2 linked regions of the Ovis aries genome follow. The main gene of each other region encodes a partner of the protein of the gene in region 2 in a complex. Links are inferred from orthologs where the notes say so. Each region holds a gene or a part of one and is shown on either strand. Other genes may lie near its edges. The genes, in order: KANSL2 and KANSL3.

Region 1 (3,813 bases), about 34 Mb from region 2:
TCAATATAGCCCATGTCCAATAAGTTAGATTTCAGAACAAAACTTTCAGTCACATCCAACCCTTTGCGACCCCACAGACTGTAGCCCACCAGGCTCCTCTGTCCATGGATTCTCCAGGCAATACTGGAGTGCATAGCTAGTTCCTTCTCCAGGAAATCTTCCCAAACCAGGGATCAAACCCAGGTCTTCCATGTTGCAAGCAGATTCTTTACTATCTGAGCCATCAGAGAAGCCCTGTAAGCCTAGTAAGTTAGATTTTAGAAACAAAACTGTACAATAGCGTTCACCGTAAAAGCAAAGTGTTCTCTGTAAAAGCAAGTGTATATACCTTAGAGGTATATACACAAATCACCTGTTGGGCGGCACCATCTGTGGCCAGCATTCTGCGCTCCTTCAGCTGTCTGTGTAGTAAGGCTTCCACTCCATAGCGCTGACGATACCGACGAAGACATTTTAGACGCTTTAAGTTTTCTCGTTCTTTGGCCAAAAGTCCCTCTGGGCCAGTCAGGAGACTACTACCTGGAAAGTCAAAACAGTCAAGATGTTATCTGCCAAGCAACCAAGGATGCATCTTCAAACAGTTTCAGAAGCAAATCCTTCTCCACTCCAGGTAACAAAAAAGAAGTAAGTCTAACTACCAAATTTACATGTTGATTAAACCCATGACAGGTTGTTGGAACTGGCATAAAACTTGCCTAGAGCTTCATGTTCCACTTTGCGATTGTGTAAGTAACGTCGCTTCTTCTCTTTGAGCAGATGCTGAAGTCGTTTAAACTGATCAATGTACAAAGATTGCAAACGAATAAGCTTCTCACGCATAATCAGGGCCACTTCTTCTGCTGTATAGACACCAGCATGTCTAGAATAAGATGATTCAAAAAGGATAAGAAGGCACAACAATAAGACCCAAGCTTAAAAGGAGCAAAGAGTAAAGGTTAGACTTAGGTTTGCTATTCAACAAGCAGTCAGTGCTAAGATAATCACCTTACTAAATAAAAATGTTTTCACAGAATTTTATTATTGTCATTAAAAAACAAACTACCCAAGAATGGATACTAATGTATGATCTCAAAATGTGGATAAGGAAAAACATTTCATTATGCTCTCCAGTTATTTCCATTATGTTTAAACAGGAGTAAAGATACAGAACACTCAAAACTTCTATTAATCTAGTCTTGTTCCCTTTAATAATTTAATACAGAAAAAATCACTTACCAGTAAATTAAAGTGTTAATTTAGTAGCATGTATCTCAATATATTTTAATTAAAGTACAAAAGATCACAAACAATTACAACTTCTAATTTAAAAGTACACTTTTAATTGGTGGTCCAGTGGTTAGGGTTCTACGCTCTCACTGCTGAAAGGCCTGGAATCAATCCCTGTTCAGGCAACTAAGATCCCATAAGCCACAAAGCATAGCCAAAAATAAATAAATAAAAATAAGCTACACTTGTATTTCGGAGTTTATACCAGCCCTCAAAACACTGATCCCAATGGCTAGTCAATGTCCTCAGCTCATTCTCTTGACAATATTCTGAAAATATAGTACCCTGGAGAAACCCTTAATTGCCAAAGACCTAGATCAACTTTATTAAGCTTTGCCACCAACTATGAATTAACAAAACTTAAAAAAAAAAAACCTTATTCTAGAAAAGAAAAACAGCTAGATATATACCTTGACTTGATACTCTCCTACTTTGATCTAGTAAAAATTATTTCTATTATTTAAAAGGCAAAATATACATGAACTATATACTAATTTTAAATCCAAAAAGTATGTGCTCTTTAAAATTTAACTCTTAAATCACTGAAATACACAGAATAAAACTATTAACTTTAGGACTGAGAGCAAATAATCTCTGCCAAAAACTTTTCTTATATATAAACAGGAGATAATACCTGTGTATAAGAAAAGTACAACTACAAAGTACTCTGAAATTATAAAAACAGCAAAATCTAAGATTCAGAAAATGTGAAAATTTCAAAACTATCTAATGTTTAAACAAGGTGATGAGGTTATTCATATTCAAGAAAATGGGGCATATCTGCATTAATGCCTGAATCCCTAAAATATTGAGGCCTTAACCTAACATCATTTGTTAGAATGAAATTAATTTCATTGTACCCTCAGAAGAGAATTTAACTGGGGACTACAATTTACAACAAATCATTTGGGGAGGCAGATGAGCATCCTAACTAAGGTAAATGCCTACTGCTGCTGCTAAGTCGCTTCAGTCGTGTCCGACTCTGTGCGACCCTATAGACAGAAGCCCACCAGGCTCCCCCGTCCCTGGGATTCTCCAGGCAAGAACACTGGAGTGGGTTGCCATTTCCTTCTCCAATGCATGAAGGTGAAAAGGGAAAGGAAAGTCACTCAGTCGTGTCTGACTCTTAGCGACTCCATGGACTGCAGCCTACCAGGCTCCTCCGTCCATGGGATTTTCCAGGCAAGAGTACTGGAGCGGGGTGCCATTGCCTTCTCCGAGGTAAATGCCTATCATGTGACAAATGCGTCATTTATTTAAAGATAGAGCCACAAATATTCATAGCTAGTTTTAATTTTAAAAATCATGTACTAACTCTTCTTGCTCTGATACGCACAACTATAAGTCTAGGTTTATTATTAGACCAATTTCAAAAAAGGGAATCACTTATTATATTGTGTTAAATTGTTTTTGCCCTTTGTTCCTTTCAGGGGAAACTGACATCTAGCCCTTTTACCACTTATTATTTCTCATAAAATTAACTGGTATTTTGTTTCATGTAACAATCTCCTGTAAGGGCTTCCCTCCTAGCTCAGTCGGTAAACAATCTGCCTGCAATGCAGGAGATCCAGTATTCGTGCCTGAAGAATTCCACGGACAGAGGAACTTGGCGGGCTACAGTCCATGGGGTCGCAAGAGTTGGACACGACTTAGCGACTAAACCACCGATCTCCTGTATGTAAGTCAGGTTAGCGTAAATGTAGATCAGTGAAGACTGACCCACTCTAGATTAGCAGAGACAAAATAAAGTTTCTGGACCTTACAAACTGAGTGTTTACCACACCCAAAGACAATCACTTAAACAATCAAGTATGGCATTTCCAGAAGCACAATGTAACTATATAAATTACATCTATATCCACATCCATATATATATATATATAATATCTATATCTATCTATCTATCTGTGGCTTAGTATAAAGTTTCTACTGTGAAAATATCCTGCTAGAAACAAGCATTTCTTCTCAAACTACTTACATGGACTTTCCAAACAAGTAGTTCCTGAATAGCTCTCTAAATTCAGATTACTTAAAATAGATGAAACTATTCTACTCAGAAAATAGAACCCTAAATGACTTCTTATAAAGTTCAGAATCCAAGGAATGAAGAAGATGCTATTCTAAGAATTTGTCAAACACAGTCAAGTCTAGAAATGCATCACCCCTCCCACTATTTAAGAGTTCTTCCACCTAAACTGTCAGCGGGAAGTATCAAGAGATAGAAGTCAGGAAAAAACAAAAACTAAACCCAAACTATGAGACACAGAAACATTAGACTTCTGGGTGGCAATGTTCTGTAACTCCAAAGCGATCGTGGGTTAGGTAAAGAGCAGAACCTTAGTAAGATGTAATTAGGACAATTACTCCTAGGTTTCTAAATCAGTTTCTCTTTCTTAGGCATGAAACCAAAGGAAGCTCTTAAACACCTTTTAATTTTTCTTAAACATATAAAGGTAAATAAAATATAAATTAATCAGAACTTTGGGGGTAAAAAAGTTGTTACTCAAATATAATCAGTTTTTCATTCCTGAGGTTTAAGTCAAGCAC
Region 2 (3,813 bases):
TTAGTGGAGCACACAGTCACACCAGCACAGACCTTGTGTCATAGTTTATCCTTGAAAGCAGCCCTCAGTATTTATTCCAACCTAATTCTGCATGGACAGATACGTCTGGAAAAAGCGGCAGGTGCCAATACTTCCCAACTGCCACATGACGTCAACTGAGAAGGCAGAAGCCAAGAGAGGCCCCTGGGCCAGGCGGCCGCACCTTGGGCTTGTCTGTGGGTCAGCACAGCCTCTGTCCGCTGCACGTGTCTCTTCAGCAGCTGGGTGCCTCCAATCTGACTGGACTTCTGGGAAGAGGCCACCGTGCTCACTTTCGTCTTGGGACTGGAGGTGGGGCTGCTGGACACACTGGAGAGATCCTGAGTAGATTGAGAGGACAAGGGCCAAGCCAAGGTCACTTGGATGGAGTGTCAATCATCAAGTCCCCTTGGAGGCCCCCGGTCAGGGATCCCCCTGCAGGAACTCCGAGGCCTGGCAAGCACAGGAACCCACCCTGCTGACTCCCCAGCAACAGCGCCCCCTCTCTGCCTGCATTACCTCTGAGCCCGAGGGGGAGGCAGGCAGCTTGGCAGCTGGTGACGCAGGTCGACTGCCCCGCTCCGAGACCTCGAAGGCCAGGTCTCTGCGGGCCACGTCTCGGGGCTTCTTCTTCTTCTCGGCATCCTGATCCCGAGGCTCGGAGCCCACGTGCCCCTCGGTACGAGTAAGTACCCCGGTCAAGAAGTCTACGATCTCGTCCTGGGGAAAGGAGGAGCCCAGACCTCAGGAAGCTCCCCAGCAGTCCCTACTAAAATGGAGTCACCCCAGCTCTGAAACCAGTGTGCTGTCCCTCCTACCTCGCAAAGCCCGGCACAAGCCCTACACTCAGCCAGGGACCTGCAGGAGCCCAGGCCCTGTGCCCAGGGTGTGGGGTGGCATTCTGGGTGGCCACACTTCACCACTCCTCAGTGAACCCTTCCTCCCCACCCGCTGTGCTCACATCTTCGATCATTACTCTCCTCCCTCCCCTCCCTCTTTCCCCCTTTTCTTTGCCTATGACTCAGGTCCCCGAAAGGCCCCAGGGGATACCCAATCCTCCACAGAGTCGGGAGGATGCTGCCAAGGAGACCAAGCCTAAAGGGTCACAGACAGACAAGCCCAGCTGAGAGGCCCACGGAAAGCAGCTGTGTACCTGAATGCATCTGTCCACCATGCTCTGCGTCAACCCTTCCGATTTCTTCTTTGCTTTGCTTATTCTAAGAGACAAAAAAGAGAAATCTTTACTTTCCAAACATTTCACAGGAACAAATGTAAATAAGAACGGCTTTCTCTTCTGTGTTGGTTCTTTTCTAAGCCGAAGAAGGAAGATGATGGTAGCCCACAGGCAGGTCTGCAGCCTCTCTGAGCCTCAGTTTCCACATCTGCAAAATAAGGCACCCTCGTACCTCCCTCATGGAGCGGTGGGGAGGACACAAAGCAACATAGGTAACAAACCAGAGAAAACATGGAAGGTACTTGGGACTGTTCACTCCAGAAGTCCTACACCTACGGCTTCACAGGTGAACTCTATCTGATTGCTAAGACCTCATCTTGAGGTACCCCAATACAGTTCCAAACCCTGAGACTTCTAGGAGCTGTGAAATGGTATTACCAGGAAAGGTGGCCACAGGTTAGTTCTAAAGCCATCAGAGAAACCGACCACCGCTGGCTGCATTCTCCTCTTTGAAAGCCAGACTTAAATGCCCTGGCTTCTGCCTGGGGTCTCAGCAGGGACAGAAACAGAGGCAAGTGACAAGGCGGAGAGCGACACTTCGAGCCTCCACATCCCGAGGCCCCAGTTCACTACTGTTCGGCCTCTAGCCCTGTCGGGTAACCTGCTCCTATCACAGAAGAGGACACCAAGCCCCAGAAGTTAAGCAATTTACCCAAGCAAAGGAGCCAGGAGGTAAACTGAGGTCTCCTGACTCTCAGTCCAACGCCCTCAGCGCCGTGCAAATATGTCTCACAAGCAGCCTCATGATGCGACTCGAACGGAAGGCATGTTCACCCCTCCCACTCCCTCGCCACGACTCAACAGCCTATTCCCCTATAGGCAAGAATGACTGAATTAATAAGAAAGAATGTATTCACAAGCAAGCGTTGCCCTGAGCATCCAAGGATTAGACTCTAGGTCCACAAGAAGCTGTCAGATGACAAAGGCCAGGAAGGCTTCTCTCCAAAGGATCTGTGGGTGAGAAAGTGACAAGACAGGTGGGAACAGGCACTCACTCTAAGCTCTCCTGTAAAAACACTGATAGGAAGCTGATACATAAGACTGAGCATGTGAGAAAGGAGGCCGATAAAGGACACAATCCCTTTCCCAGTACATTTCATGAAAATGCAACTGAAGGCCCCGCTGGCAGACCCTGAAAGGGAAGAATGGCCATCTCAATGACTAAAGATGCCCCCTTAAAATCGCTTCCAAACTCTGGTGGCTTATACTCCAAATATAAAAGGATGCCTGTGACAAATAAAATCTTTGTTCAAATTCATCCTCAGTATTACTAGGAAGAAAATGTAAAGAAATGCCTACCCCAGTGAAAGCCCAATGGCAAAGACTATGATTACAGCATCTCGAGATATCTTCTCCCCACAAGAAGACTACTAACTACAAAGGGAAAAACAGTAACTGAAGAGAAGCCTGGCAGATACTACCCTAACGACGTGATCAACGGTGACCTTGCCGGTAACAGGACACAGCAACATCATGCAGCCCCGAGGCTGCACGCAGGGCACATGAGCTCCGTGGCATTCCTGCCAAAGGTGTGCCCGCAACCTAATCACGAGACAACGTCAAACCCTAAACTGAGGAACAGTCTACAGAACAGCACTCTTAGGAAGCGTCAAGGTCACGACAGATAGGCTGAGGAACAGCGTCACATTAAGAGGAGGCTGAGGAGACACAGCAACCGGCAGCCCTGCGCGGCCTGGACTCGGCCCGGGACTAGACGAGCGCAGAGACGACACAGTGCCGTCTGCGAGTCTGCAGACCAGGTTACAGTGTCACACCCACGTCAGCTTCCCAGCTTTGACAATTACTTTTGGTTACGCAAGATGTTAACACTTGGGAAATCTGGGTGAACAGTATATAGAATTTTTTGGTACAATCTTTCCAACATGGCACTCTGGCAGCACCCAGGGACCCTACCCACCTGAGATTGTCATCAGCTCCCCCAACCACCACCAAGCTGTTCTCCGCCCGAATCTTCTCCCGGAAGTCCTCCATGGCTTCGGGGTGGCACTGCAGGGAGTTCTGACCGATGACAAAGAGGACTGGAGTCTTCATATCCAAGAGGGGATCGTCTACATCCTGAGCAGGTCCGGTTTTACAGTCAGCCAATTGATGCTTGCTCAACACTGCCTGGCAAGCCCACTCAACAGAGCCCCCCGGGTAGCCGCGGCCTCCGAGCAGCAGCACGGGAGGGGCAGGCTGCTACTCCGGTCCTCCCACTGGCCAGTGGCCCGGCACCCACAGGCCCCACGCTTACCCCTCTGGGGCCGTCCACGGTAAGCAGAGGAAACCCAAGGCAGACGACAGCAGTGACGTATTCCATCACCGACACCTGCAAATAAGGGCATGGCCTGCCTCAAGGCCAACTGACCTCCCCACAGCTACAGCCTACCCAGAAGCCACCGGCCGGTCCCACCTCCTCCTCCTCAGTTGTAACTCCCAGGTGATGACACGACCCCGAGGTGATGACACAGGTGTACCAGCCACACAGTAGGGCAGTAAGAGGACAGACACAGGACGTCTGCTTACACCAGCAGCCCCCACCAAGAGAACCGGGGCCCTCA

Evidence for each region.
Region 1: KANSL3 (region 2) and KANSL2 share a complex: the UniProt entries of both Homo sapiens proteins name them as parts of the NSL complex. The link is inferred for Ovis aries from reciprocal best matches to the Homo sapiens genes KANSL3 and KANSL2.

Annotation. Positions count from the first base shown.
Region 1 is NC_056056.1:137,506,461-137,510,273, reverse strand, and holds part of KANSL2 (KAT8 regulatory NSL complex subunit 2), read right to left. Parts: intron 860-3,813; coding exon 692-859; intron 520-691; coding exon of another isoform or gene 516-519; coding exon 353-515; intron 1-352. UniProt on the Homo sapiens protein: Non-catalytic component of the NSL histone acetyltransferase complex, a multiprotein complex that mediates histone H4 acetylation at 'Lys-5'- and 'Lys-8' (H4K5ac and H4K8ac) at transcription start sites and promotes transcription initiation.
Region 2 is NC_056056.1:103,885,361-103,889,173, reverse strand, and holds part of KANSL3 (KAT8 regulatory NSL complex subunit 3), read right to left. Parts: intron 3,582-3,813; coding exon 3,507-3,581; intron 3,329-3,506; coding exon 3,171-3,328; intron 1,236-3,170; coding exon 1,172-1,235; intron 739-1,171; coding exon 538-738; intron 360-537; coding exon 203-359; intron 1-202. UniProt on the Homo sapiens protein: Non-catalytic component of the NSL histone acetyltransferase complex, a multiprotein complex that mediates histone H4 acetylation at 'Lys-5'- and 'Lys-8' (H4K5ac and H4K8ac) at transcription start sites and promotes transcription initiation.